2 linked regions of the Arabidopsis thaliana genome follow. The protein of the gene in region 2 interacts with the protein of the main gene of each other region in a biochemical or structural test. Each region holds a gene or a part of one and is shown on either strand. Other genes may lie near its edges.

The links. Proteins that work in one complex are often made in the same cells at the same time.
Region 1: the proteins of PLDALPHA1 (region 2) and GP ALPHA 1 form a complex in vitro, tested with the Arabidopsis thaliana proteins (one study listed by BioGRID).

Annotation. Positions count from the first base shown.
Region 1 is NC_003071.7:11,195,306-11,201,626, reverse strand, and holds GP ALPHA 1 (G protein alpha subunit 1), read right to left. Parts: upstream 4,632-6,321; 5' UTR 4,159-4,631; exon of another isoform or gene 3,807-4,158; intron 3,670-3,806; 5' UTR 3,541-3,669; coding exon 3,481-3,540; intron 3,393-3,480; coding exon 3,320-3,392; intron 3,225-3,319; coding exon 3,187-3,224; intron 3,097-3,186; coding exon 3,007-3,096; intron 2,832-3,006; coding exon 2,754-2,831; intron 2,652-2,753; coding exon 2,544-2,651; intron 2,462-2,543; coding exon 2,360-2,461; intron 2,119-2,359; coding exon 2,063-2,118; intron 1,688-2,062; coding exon 1,553-1,687; intron 1,471-1,552; coding exon 1,377-1,470; intron 1,286-1,376; coding exon 1,226-1,285; intron 1,140-1,225; coding exon 1,060-1,139; intron 983-1,059; coding exon 805-982; 3' UTR 525-804; downstream 1-524. UniProt on the Arabidopsis thaliana protein: Exhibits a fast rate of basal nucleotide exchange. Guanine nucleotide-binding proteins (G proteins) are involved as modulators or transducers in various transmembrane signaling systems.
Region 2 is NC_003074.8:5,328,164-5,334,250, forward strand, and holds PLDALPHA1 (phospholipase D alpha 1), read left to right. Parts: upstream 1-2,030; 5' UTR 2,031-2,256; intron 2,257-2,663; 5' UTR 2,664-2,671; coding exon 2,672-2,767; intron 2,768-2,890; coding exon 2,891-4,793; intron 4,794-4,877; coding exon 4,878-5,311; 3' UTR 5,312-5,582; downstream 5,583-6,087. Other genes in the region: AT3G15740 (RING/U-box superfamily protein), read right to left, coding at 5,716-6,087. UniProt on the Arabidopsis thaliana protein: Hydrolyzes glycerol-phospholipids at the terminal phosphodiesteric bond to generate phosphatidic acids (PA).

The DNA of each region.
Region 1 (6,321 bases), on a different chromosome or scaffold from region 2:
CTAAATGGTTCCCTAACAAAACCAATTTCGTGATCTTTGAGAGTTTCGTATTAATCAAACTAAGAAGCGATTGTTATCATTATCGTATAACAGAAAAAGCAAAATCAGAACACCATTGGAAGAAAGAGAGAACAACAACATACATGTTTCAGAGGATTGCTCGAAAACGGAATCAAAAACAGAGGAAGAAGAATCAATGAAGCTTTTTTTTTTTTTTGGGATCTATTAACGAAAGAGAAGAAGGAATATTCTTTGACGTAAGAAACAACAACGGCGAAGAGTTTTTTGCTTTCAGGGTTCTTCTTTCTTCGGTGCAATTATTTTTAAAGTCGCTTTTTCGAATGTTCTGAAATCACGGTAGACCCCATGTGTTTTACTTTTATTTCAGTTTTTACATCATATTTTGTATTTGTTCAGTTTCACCCCCATACTTTTTTTTAATGTAAGAACTTTTTCATGTTAGGAACATTCCAAAACTTTTTAGTACTGATAAAGTTACGTTTTGTGTTGTGTTTCACTTTCTAGATTTCGGGATGTGGATGCCTCATTTTAATAATAATATAACCCCAAAAACAAGATCAAAATGAGATGTTTTTGATGAGAAAAAAAAATAAGAAGTCAAAGACAGAGGAATGTTAACAAAAACAATGATAAAATAGAAACTAGTCGTAGCCATCGAGACACATTAGATTTTGAATCGCTAAGTCTTTTGTCCCGAAAGATAAATTACACGGTCATTCAGTTTTCGAGTTTTTCTTATAATAATAAGGAGAGGTAATTTACTAGAGATATGTAATAATAAGGTCATAAAAGGCCAGCCTCCAGTAAATTTCTCCTTCTTAGTGTCTCATCTACGAGCTTGAACGTTTTCTTTACAAGCTTCTGGTCCAAAGCCGTCGTCCTGTAGATTTTGAATACCCTGTCCACTCTATCCGGCGCCGTGTTCTGGTAATATAACTCCTCAAACTTCTTCTTCACAAACCTGAATCCAAATTAAAAATAAGGTCATATAACGGTAACAGTTTGGCGGGAATCAGTAAAGTTTGGAGACAAGCTTACTCGTATGCATGCTCAATCTCTTGTTTCCCACTTGAAACTGGTTGGTAATCTCTGAACCACTCGCAAACGTTCAACGGAACCTATGCACATTGAATAAGAAAGCGTTATTGAACAAAAAGACTTGCTTGCCTATCAAAACAAATAAATATGCTTTAGTTCTTCTTACGTCAAGAACTTTCTTCTCAAATATGTCGAACTTGTTCAAGAACAGCATGAAGGATGTTTTCTGCGTAAAGAGAACCAAGTTTTTGTAACCAAACCCATCTCAAGAGTGTCTTTAAATTTTTAAAAGATGAGATAAAAATGTAACTAAAAACCTCAAAACAGGGTTGTTTCAGGACCCAGTCGAATAATTCCTTGGTCTCCATCATCCTGTTTTTCTGCTCGTCCTCAAAGAGCGTTTGGTCGTACCTATGATCAAAACTCAGTTAATGTTTTGGCAATATGTGGACAGTACGAGGATATCTTATAATTTATAATGAAGTGAGCTTACTCGCTGATGGCAGCACAAAATATCACAGCTGTTACACCTTCAAACAGATGAATCCATTTCCTCCTCTCATTTCTCTGTCCACCCACGTCAAACAATCGGTACACTTCACCACTTTTTTTATTCTCTCCCACAGGGCTGCATAAACGAAGCTTTATCTCATATACCATTTGTGAATTCATCTTTGGTAACGGATCATTACAAGTAGATTCACCACAACAACAAGTTTGATATTGGTATGGAATTCATATGTTCTATTAGTACATCTTAGTGGCAATCATAGGAATCGAATCCGTAAACACTTTTATTCATTTCACCAAATAACTTACACATCGCAGAGAGACTACATTAACAAGATTGTTGCTGAGCTGTTAACACAGCTACTACAAACCGCCTAGCTAATCATATTGCCTAGTGAACCAGACTAACACTTAGAGCTTATCAAACAATTACTCATCTATGAAAGACTAACAATCAAACAGGAAAAAGGGTAAAACAAAAAGTAGTTGGTACCTGAACTGTATTTCCACGACACCAGTTGTGCGAACTCTTGCATAAAGTACATCCTCCTGAAACACCAACATAGAAAAAATGCACCAATGACAACACATTCCGGAAGACACATGTCACAGAAATTGCATATTGACTCTGGTCTCTGAAAATGCTAGCTCAACTAGGCTAATATGGAAAGCAAAAGGCTTCTGTTTGTTAATACATTGATCCTCCGAGGCTGATCCAATGAGTTTTATTCAACCATTTTAAGATCATTACTTGAAATGTTTTCAACAAAGAATGATACTTTGGTTATACCTTAGTTGGAATATAATTTATATCTGATAGTCTCTTCAAGTTCTCCATCAGATATTTCGTACAATCAGGAACCTGAAGCTCATTACCACGAGCACAAGTTTCCTACAAAATGAAACGTTTAAATCATGTATTCAACTTTGAGTGCAATAGTAAATAAAACGTGCACACACACACACAAACACACCTGAATTGCAGGATCCTTCCATAGTGTTTCTATTCCCTCAGCGATGTCCTTGGTAAGACGTGGATAGTCTAACCTACCACCAATCTCAGATAGTTTCTCCCCAATTGCCTGATATTACGATAATAAGTTGACTACCATAAGACAAGGTACTCACAAGACTCAAAACTCTAACAAAGACAGCTCAAGTGACCTATGAATCTAACCACTTACAATACTTTCAGAAGATAACATATATTTAGCAGAATCTGTTTCATTTTGAGCAAACTCCTTTGTTCCATCATGCAATAACTGTTCAACAATATAGAGTAGCTATTAAGCTACATGTACAATATACCAAGATCAACATATGAAAAAAATTTGATTACTCATATAAATGATTCTCTAGATTGTAAATCCAAAAGAACTCGAAAACACCGCCAATTAGAAGGATAAAACCGACACAGTCATTTCAAGTATTGCATACTTTTATAGTCTGATAGACATTGGCATGAATGACTGGAACATAGCTCTTTAGTTCTCCTTCATCAAATCCCGTTTGGAATAGAAGTTTTATCTGCAAATTAGTAAATTTGTATCATTCAATTAGCAGGATTCATAAGTAAATTTAAGTAAAGAGTACAATCAATTTTCCTTGTGGACTTGCCTGCTTAAAAATTGTAGATTTTCCAGATTCCCCAGCACCTTTACAAAACACAAGTCAGAAAATTAGAGGAAAACTATTACCAAAAGATTCATCAAGGCATGCCATTCACATTTCTAATCCAAGGTCTACATACCAAGTAGCAAAAGCTTCCGAATATGCTTTTCAGCCTTTGCTTCTTGCTCTATCCGTCTTTCGATTTCAGCAGCCTGTAGATTAATACAAACCAAGTTAACTCTTGAAGTATCAGAAATAATGCTCCCATACATCGAGTGTTACAAGAGCTCTTAAGTCAACCTGTGTATTCTCATCAGTATCTTCAGTATGATGTCGACTTCTACTGCAGAGTAAGCCCATGATTGTTTCTATATCCCCACAGGTAATAACATAGAAGTCGAAAACTATCAAGATTCAAGCTCCACAGCTAAAAACAAATACTTGAGCTTCCAGCTACAGTTGCTTCTCATAACAAGACAATGCCTACACCTACTTATGAAACAATCAATACTTTAGCTCAAAATTCATAAATATACATAAAGTTTCACTCACCAAAATAGCAAACATGTTCAAAGAATGCAAGTAAGAAAAAGCATTAAACTTTATAATATATACTGGATTAGTACCTCTCAAATGAAACAAGTTCAGTAGTTAAGAAAATGAGCTCTAAAAGTCGAGTAGCTAACACCATTAAGAAATTCAAAAACTGTGAGATAGCAAATCAAGTAATAGATAGAGTTCACACTTGAACTGCTATAATCAGATCCAAAGAATCATAATTTTCATTTCCAATCTACAGTAACGACGAACTGATCTACAAAACCCTAAACTTGAAAAACAAAACCAATTCGAAACGAAACAGAAAAACAACAGAACAAGGAGGAGAACTAGGACAAGATCTGAGTAATAAAAAACAAAACTTTCATAAAACCCAAAAGAGTAAATTTGGGGTAAGAAGAAAAGTAAAGTAGAATTCACCTGAAGAAGAAAAAGAAATGGAGTCAAAGGTAGTGAAGAAGATATCGGAGTTCGCAAACAAGAAGAAGAAGAAGAAGAAGAAAGTACAAAACAAGGTCTGAGAAGAGAGCAGAAGAAGAAGAAGTAGTACTTCTGCTTCTCCTGTTTCTATTATTGTTTTACCACTTTCTTTCCGCTTTAATGTTTTTGCTTCACTCTTTTGGATTTATTCTCTCCTTTTTATTATAAATACATAAAATGCAAATTATGAATTTAATTAAAAATAAAATAAAAATGGATATATTTTTAATATTTGGTCAAAAAGAAAGAAAGAAAATGTTAAGCAAAGGGGAAGACGAAATTACGCCGAAAGGTCCTGAGAGAGAGAGAGAGAGAGTGGTCAAATGTTGAAAAAAGATGTGCCTCTCGTGACGATAAAGAAGATTAATTACGGAACCTATATGCATTTTTATTTTATATACTATTAAGTTAACCATTATTGGAAGAGAATTACTAAGTGTGGCAAGACAAAACAAATTTGGAATTTTATGACATCAAGTCCTTGTATCGAAATATCTTGATTTTTGCTTTGCAGTTGCATTACAAGCTGGACTCTACTTATATCTAGAATGGGTTTTGCTAGCTTAGGAAATATATTGCAGTTTTGATTTAGGAAAGAAAATAAAGATTCAAAATCGATAAAAACACAACATATCATATAGTACTTTAAATCTTCAACCTACAAAAACATCACATCCGTTAAATCCTTACAATCATTAACATCGACTTGAACTTCTCACAAAATGTTTCCACTGAGAAACGGTCTTGGCGAGTGATGGTATATTTATTGGTTGGGCTTAAATATATTTCAGATGCAAAACCATATTGAATCAATAAATTATAAATACATAGCTTCCCTAACCACTTAAACCACCAGCTACAAAACCAATAAACCCGATCAATCATTATGTTTTCATAGGATTTCCTGAACATACATTAAATTATTTTTCATTTTCTTGGTGCTCTTTTCTGTCTTATTCACGTTTTAATGGACATAATCGGTTTCATATTGTAAATCTCTTTAACCTAACGAACAATTTAATGACCCTAGTAATAGGATAAGAAGGTCGTGAAAAATGAACGAGAAAAAACCCACCAAAACACTATATAAGAAAGACCGAAAAAGTAAAAAGGGTGAGCCATAAACCAAAAACCTTACCAGATGTTGTCAAAGAACAAAAATCATCATCCATGATTAACCTACGCTTCACTACTAAGACAAGGCGATTGTGTCCCGGTTGAAAAGGTTGTAAAACAGTTTGAGGATGCTACAAAAGTGGATGTTAAGTATGAAGCGGCTAAGGTTTTGGATTTGGTCTAGGAGCACATTGGTTAAGCAATATCTTCGGTGGAGATTGAGTTTTTAGAGATAGTAGATACTAATTCATCTATGGAGACATGCAAATTCATCAAAATGCTTGGATGAATTAGAAAAACTAGGTGGAGAATACAGTAAAAAAATTCAAAAAGTGCATATTGTTTGGACAACATTAATATGTACAAATAGTTTACATTTAAATGTATTATTTTACTAATTAAGTACATATAAAGTTGCTAAACTAAACTAATATAATTTTTGCATAAGTAAATTTATCGTTAAAAGTTTTCTTTCTAGCCACTAAACAACAATACAAAATCGCCCAAGTCACCCATTAATTAATTTAGAAGTGAAAAACAAAATCTTAATTATATGGACGATCTTGTCTACCATATTTCAAGGGCTACAGGCCTACAGCCGCCGAATAAATCTTACCAGCCTTAAACCAGAACAACGGCAAATAAGTTCATGTGGCGGCTGGTGATGATTCACAATTTCCCCGACAGTTCTATGATAATGAAACTATATAATTATTGTACGTACATACATGCATGCGACGAACAACACTTCAATTTAATTGTTAGTATTAAATTACATTTATAGTGAAGTATGTTGGGACGATTAGACGGATACAATGCACTTATGTTCTCCGGAAAATGAATCATTTGTGTTCAGAGCATGACTCCAAGAGTCAAAAAAGTTATTAAATTTATTTGAATTTAAAACTTAAAAATAGTGTAATTTTTAACCACCCGCTGCCGCAAACGTTGGCGGAAGAATACGCGGTGTTAAACAATTTTTGTGAT
Region 2 (6,087 bases):
TGTGACATGTTCAATCCTAGCAAAAAGATATCATGCTAAATTTGTCTTCTTTTGACAAAAGTTTATTGGTTTTCAGTCCTAGAAACTTGTAAATTATGTAAGCGAGTGACAAAGTTTATTGGTTTTCAGACCTAGAGAGCAGTGAATGACAAAGTTTATTGGTTTGCAGACCTAGAACTTGTGAACGGGCAGCGAATAAAGTAGCTCATATCATTACGCTTTCCCGATTCTAGTTCCTTGGTTTTATATGACGACGGTTATCTGTTGTGATTGATAAACCGGATCGTATAACTAATTAGTAATTCCTTTCAAACTTTTAGTTTGAAGAAGATGTTGAGCCAAAAAACATTTATATAATCTATCCGAAGAAACTTGTGTTTGCTTCTTAGGCCATCTTCAACGGTAAAATTAGGTGGATTATCTTAAAATATTGTTTTTTAATTATTATCATATAATATTATTATTTACTTAAATAATTATTCTGAAAATAATAATTTAACCTATTAAAATGTAACCTATTATTTACTTTTCTCTCTCTCCTACTTTATTATTATTTTATATTTTTTAGTTAGTGAAAAACCATACTAGAGACTACTGATGGAGATGTTCTTATCTTTTCTGTCTATTTTTGACTTTCATGATTCGCTTTTAGTTTCTTTTCTTCGGCTTCGCTTTTGGGTTTTCTATTTTAGCTTTTTTCTTTTTGCTTATAAGAAAAAAAAAAAAACTAATTATGTACTTATTGTAGTTTAATTATAGTAATATTCTTTTGATTTTTTTTCTTTTTTTTCCTACTAAACAGTTAAAGATTCACGTACTACTTATCAAATTCAGTTCAGACAGTCGGACAATATCAATAGGTGCACCTAAATTTCATTCCAAGTTTTACCCTACCACAAAAAAAAAAAATCATTCCAAGATACAGGCCTAAATACGTGTACAGAATGTTAAATCACCAGGCCCAATTATGGCCCATATTCAAATATCAATAGCACCTAAATTTCTAGTTTCTACGTCCCTTCTTCATTTTTTCCTTGGGTCAACTAAAATTCAAAAGTCCTATTTTCTAAAATAAGCTAATATAGAAGCAAAACAAAGGAATTGGGTTATTTTAAGTCCAGATTTTTCAGACAAGTCACCGGTGAGCGGTGGCTGCGTATCAGAAACCTTGCCGTGAGCATTGCTAAATAATAAACATAGATAGGGGAATAAGCTCCAAAATAAGCTCCCTTGTATCCTACCATTGTGTTACAATTTAGCATTACGCCGAGTTGCCAATACTGTCTTAATTTTCCCTTTGATCCCCATATATGAGACACCTCTGATCTGTTCTTCACCGCATTTTTATGATTGACGGTTTTGCTGATGGTTAGTACATTAGAACTTATTAGATACCAGAGAATGCAAATACATTGTATAATCCCCATGTGGCCACGTTCCGTTTATGAGGAGTAATATTTTATACAACTATCACATTCTTCTTTACCCAAAAAAAACGAAAAAAAAAACTACCCAATCTTATAGCGAAGATGTGTGAGATCCAATGATGAAGCAATTAAATTATTGCTAGTGAATTCATGTCATTATGCGAACACGTACTACTTGAGAAAAGTACACCATATAGTTTTCTTGTGATGGACGGTGAGGATTCAGCTTGGGAAACGATGTCGTAACGTTTGGATGCAGAACGTCGGGCGCACGATTTGGATATCTCTTTTTTTTTTTTGTCTCCCCTATCCTCAAGTCAGGGATTTTATTACAACTTTGAATATTTATTTCCTTTTTTTATGTCGGCCTTCTTAAAACTTTTCAAGATTTTCAATTAGTCACTAAACTTTCCATTTTATCTTTTTCACTCTATTATATAATTTTAGATGTAACGTAAAATATTACTATTAGGATGTGAGATAACATAATCCAACCACAATTATATCGTTATCTAGTAACATTAACTATATATTATAAGTTATAAATTGAAAGGAATCTCTTGAGAGTAACTATTTAGGGCCTAATTGTGAAACTAAAAACGTGTAGGGCTGAAACTAATAACAATTCGTACGTTGGGTCACTATTAAATCATCAAAGATCTGTAGAAAATAATGAAAAAGTGGCCCCACACGCTCCAATTAAATTACAGCAGCTCCACAAAGTAGCTCTTAAAGAGCTTCCATCACGGACCAGATCCCGAATTCTTCTTCTGACCACCGAACGATTGAGTTTCTCCGATCAGATCTCAGTTTCTGGGAATAATTCGAAGTTAGTATTTCTCTACTTCATCTCTATGAATCTCATTCATTTTATCTTTATGTTTCTCTTTACTTGTTTTGCGATTAAAACTCGTTTGATCATTTAGGTGGTTCTTTGTTTTGTGAGATAAGTGGAACTCGCTGACTTTTTTTTTTTTCTTTTTGGATAATCAACGATCGGGTTCATTTGCTATTGTCCTCTAGTGTTACACTGATACGATCTTTAGTTTTGAGTTAGATCAGTGACTTTAGTTTCACTATTCAACTAGTGTTCCTTGTTTTTAGGACAATACTGCGAAAATTTAGCTGCTCTAAAATTTTGATACCAGATCTTTGAGATTCGTAGATCTCGCTTTTCTTTTTTTTTAGTTTTTTCAGAAACTAATATTGTGTTCTGGTCAATTCTTATTGCTAAAGGTGAAAAAATGGCGCAGCATCTGTTGCACGGGACTTTACATGCTACCATCTATGAAGTTGATGCCCTCCATGGTGGTGGTGTTAGGCAAGGCTTCCTTGGCAAGGTATAATAAGATCCATTGTTATTGCATCATTTTTGCGCCAATCCTGACGTCTTATTTTGTAGTTCAAATTAGTCTGTGGACTAATACACAGTTTGATCTTTATTTTTCTGATGAAACTTTCAGATTCTGGCAAATGTAGAAGAGACGATTGGTGTTGGTAAAGGAGAAACACAGTTGTATGCGACGATTGATCTGCAAAAAGCTAGAGTTGGGAGAACCAGGAAGATCAAAAATGAACCTAAGAACCCAAAGTGGTATGAGTCGTTTCATATTTACTGTGCTCACTTGGCTTCTGATATCATCTTCACTGTTAAAGATGATAATCCCATTGGAGCTACCCTTATCGGAAGAGCTTACATTCCTGTTGATCAAGTCATTAACGGCGAGGAAGTGGATCAGTGGGTTGAGATCTTGGATAATGACAGAAACCCTATTCAGGGAGGATCAAAGATTCATGTCAAGCTTCAATATTTCCATGTTGAGGAGGATCGTAACTGGAACATGGGTATCAAAAGTGCCAAGTTCCCTGGAGTGCCATACACATTCTTCTCGCAGAGACAAGGCTGCAAAGTTTCTCTGTACCAAGATGCTCATATTCCAGACAACTTTGTCCCTAGAATTCCTCTCGCTGGAGGGAAGAACTATGAGCCTCAAAGATGTTGGGAGGATATTTTTGATGCTATTAGCAATGCAAAACACTTGATCTACATTACTGGTTGGTCTGTTTACGCTGAGATTGCTTTAGTGAGGGACTCGAGGAGGCCTAAGCCTGGAGGTGATGTGACCATTGGTGAGCTACTCAAGAAGAAGGCTAGTGAAGGTGTCAGGGTTCTTTTGCTTGTTTGGGATGACAGAACTTCTGTTGATGTGCTGAAGAAAGATGGGCTCATGGCTACTCATGATGAAGAGACCGAGAATTTCTTCAGGGGAAGTGATGTCCATTGTATTCTGTGCCCTCGTAACCCGGATGACGGTGGTAGCATAGTCCAAAGTTTGCAGATCTCTACTATGTTCACGCATCATCAGAAAATCGTTGTTGTGGACAGCGAGATGCCAAGCAGAGGAGGATCAGAAATGAGGAGAATTGTGAGTTTTGTTGGCGGTATTGATCTTTGTGATGGAAGATACGACACTCCGTTCCACTCCTTGTTCAGGACATTGGACACAGTCCACCATGATGACTTCCATCAACCTAACTTCACTGGTGCTGCTATCACTAAAGGTGGTCCAAGGGAGCCTTGGCATGACATTCACTCCCGTCTTGAAGGTCCAATTGCTTGGGATGTCATGTACAACTTCGAGCAGAGATGGAGCAAGCAGGGTGGTAAAGACATTCTGGTTAAGTTGAGAGATCTTAGTGATATTATTATCACCCCTTCTCCTGTTATGTTCCAAGAGGACCACGATGTGTGGAATGTCCAATTGTTTAGGTCCATTGATGGAGGAGCTGCTGCTGGGTTTCCCGAGTCGCCTGAAGCTGCTGCGGAAGCCGGGCTTGTAAGTGGGAAAGATAACATCATTGATAGGAGTATCCAAGATGCTTACATTCATGCAATCAGACGTGCTAAGGATTTCATCTACGTTGAAAACCAGTACTTCCTTGGGAGTTCTTTTGCTTGGGCAGCCGATGGTATTACTCCTGAGGACATCAATGCCCTGCACTTAATCCCAAAAGAGTTGTCGCTGAAGATAGTTAGCAAGATTGAGAAAGGAGAGAAGTTCAGGGTCTATGTTGTGGTTCCAATGTGGCCAGAAGGTCTCCCAGAGAGTGGATCAGTGCAAGCTATATTAGACTGGCAGAGGAGGACCATGGAGATGATGTACAAGGATGTGATTCAGGCTCTCAGGGCCCAGGGTCTTGAGGAAGATCCAAGAAACTATCTGACATTCTTCTGTCTTGGAAACCGTGAGGTCAAGAAAGATGGAGAGTATGAGCCTGCTGAGAAACCAGACCCCGACACTGATTACATGAGGGCGCAAGAAGCACGCCGTTTCATGATTTACGTCCACACCAAAATGATGATCGGTAAGTTCACATTTCAACGGAAAAAAACTTGAGAAGTATACATAAATGTTGTGCCTGATTCATTTGATGAAATCCATTTTGCAGTTGACGATGAATACATTATCATTGGGTCTGCTAACATCAACCAGAGGTCAATGGACGGTGCAAGAGACTCTGAGATAGCAATGGGAGGTTATCAACCACATCACTTGTCCCATAGACAACCAGCTCGTGGCCAGATCCATGGGTTTCGTATGTCACTCTGGTACGAACACCTGGGAATGCTCGATGAAACCTTCCTCGATCCATCAAGCTTGGAATGCATTGAGAAAGTTAACCGCATTTCTGACAAGTATTGGGACTTTTACTCAAGTGAGTCACTCGAACATGACCTTCCTGGTCACTTGCTCCGCTACCCGATCGGTGTAGCCAGCGAAGGCGACATCACTGAGCTTCCAGGATTTGAATTCTTCCCGGACACAAAGGCCCGTATCCTCGGCACCAAATCAGACTACCTGCCTCCAATCCTTACAACCTAATCTCACTAAGCATGTCAAGTAATGATCTCTCTCTCCCTCTCTGCTTTGCTGCTGTTGTAGCTTTGAATAAAACTTGAGTGTCTACCTTTAGAATTAAGAAGTCAAATGGTTGTTATGATGATGCACTTCTTTACCCCTTTGGTTTTTATATTCGTACAATGACGTGGTGAGAGAATGTAGCTTTGTGATCTTGTTTTGTTGTTGTTATGTACCTTTGGACTTATGAATCTTATATCTGATCCTTTTCTTTTTATTTAGTGTGTTTCACATCAAAGTTTAAACAAAAATAGCAATGAACTAGGTAAAACATACTTCATTAGAAAAGTGAAAGTGACAATCTAGAGATAAAGCATGAAACTAGGGTTCATATAGCACAAAACTAATACAAAAGGGGTTTTAAAGTTTTAAGCCGGAAACAGGGCACGACACACCGGACAAATCCCACTGTTCCTAAGCCATTCCTCTCCACAAGTACGATGAAACACATGCGAACACGGCATTCGACCCGCTTCCACATCTGACCCAACTCGGATATTATCCATGCATATCACACAATAGCCTTCATTCTCAACAACAAGCGTCTCCAAGTGCATCTCCACCGCCTCATCGTTCGCTGGAGCAACCGCAAGTTGCACTTGCACATCTACGTGATCATCTTCACCGGGAAACCTCGAGACAGTAACACCTATCTTTACTTGTACCCTCTCCACGTCTTTCGCACCATCTTTCTTCAAATCCTTAATCTCATCAGCAAGAGTGTTAACAATAGCAGAATA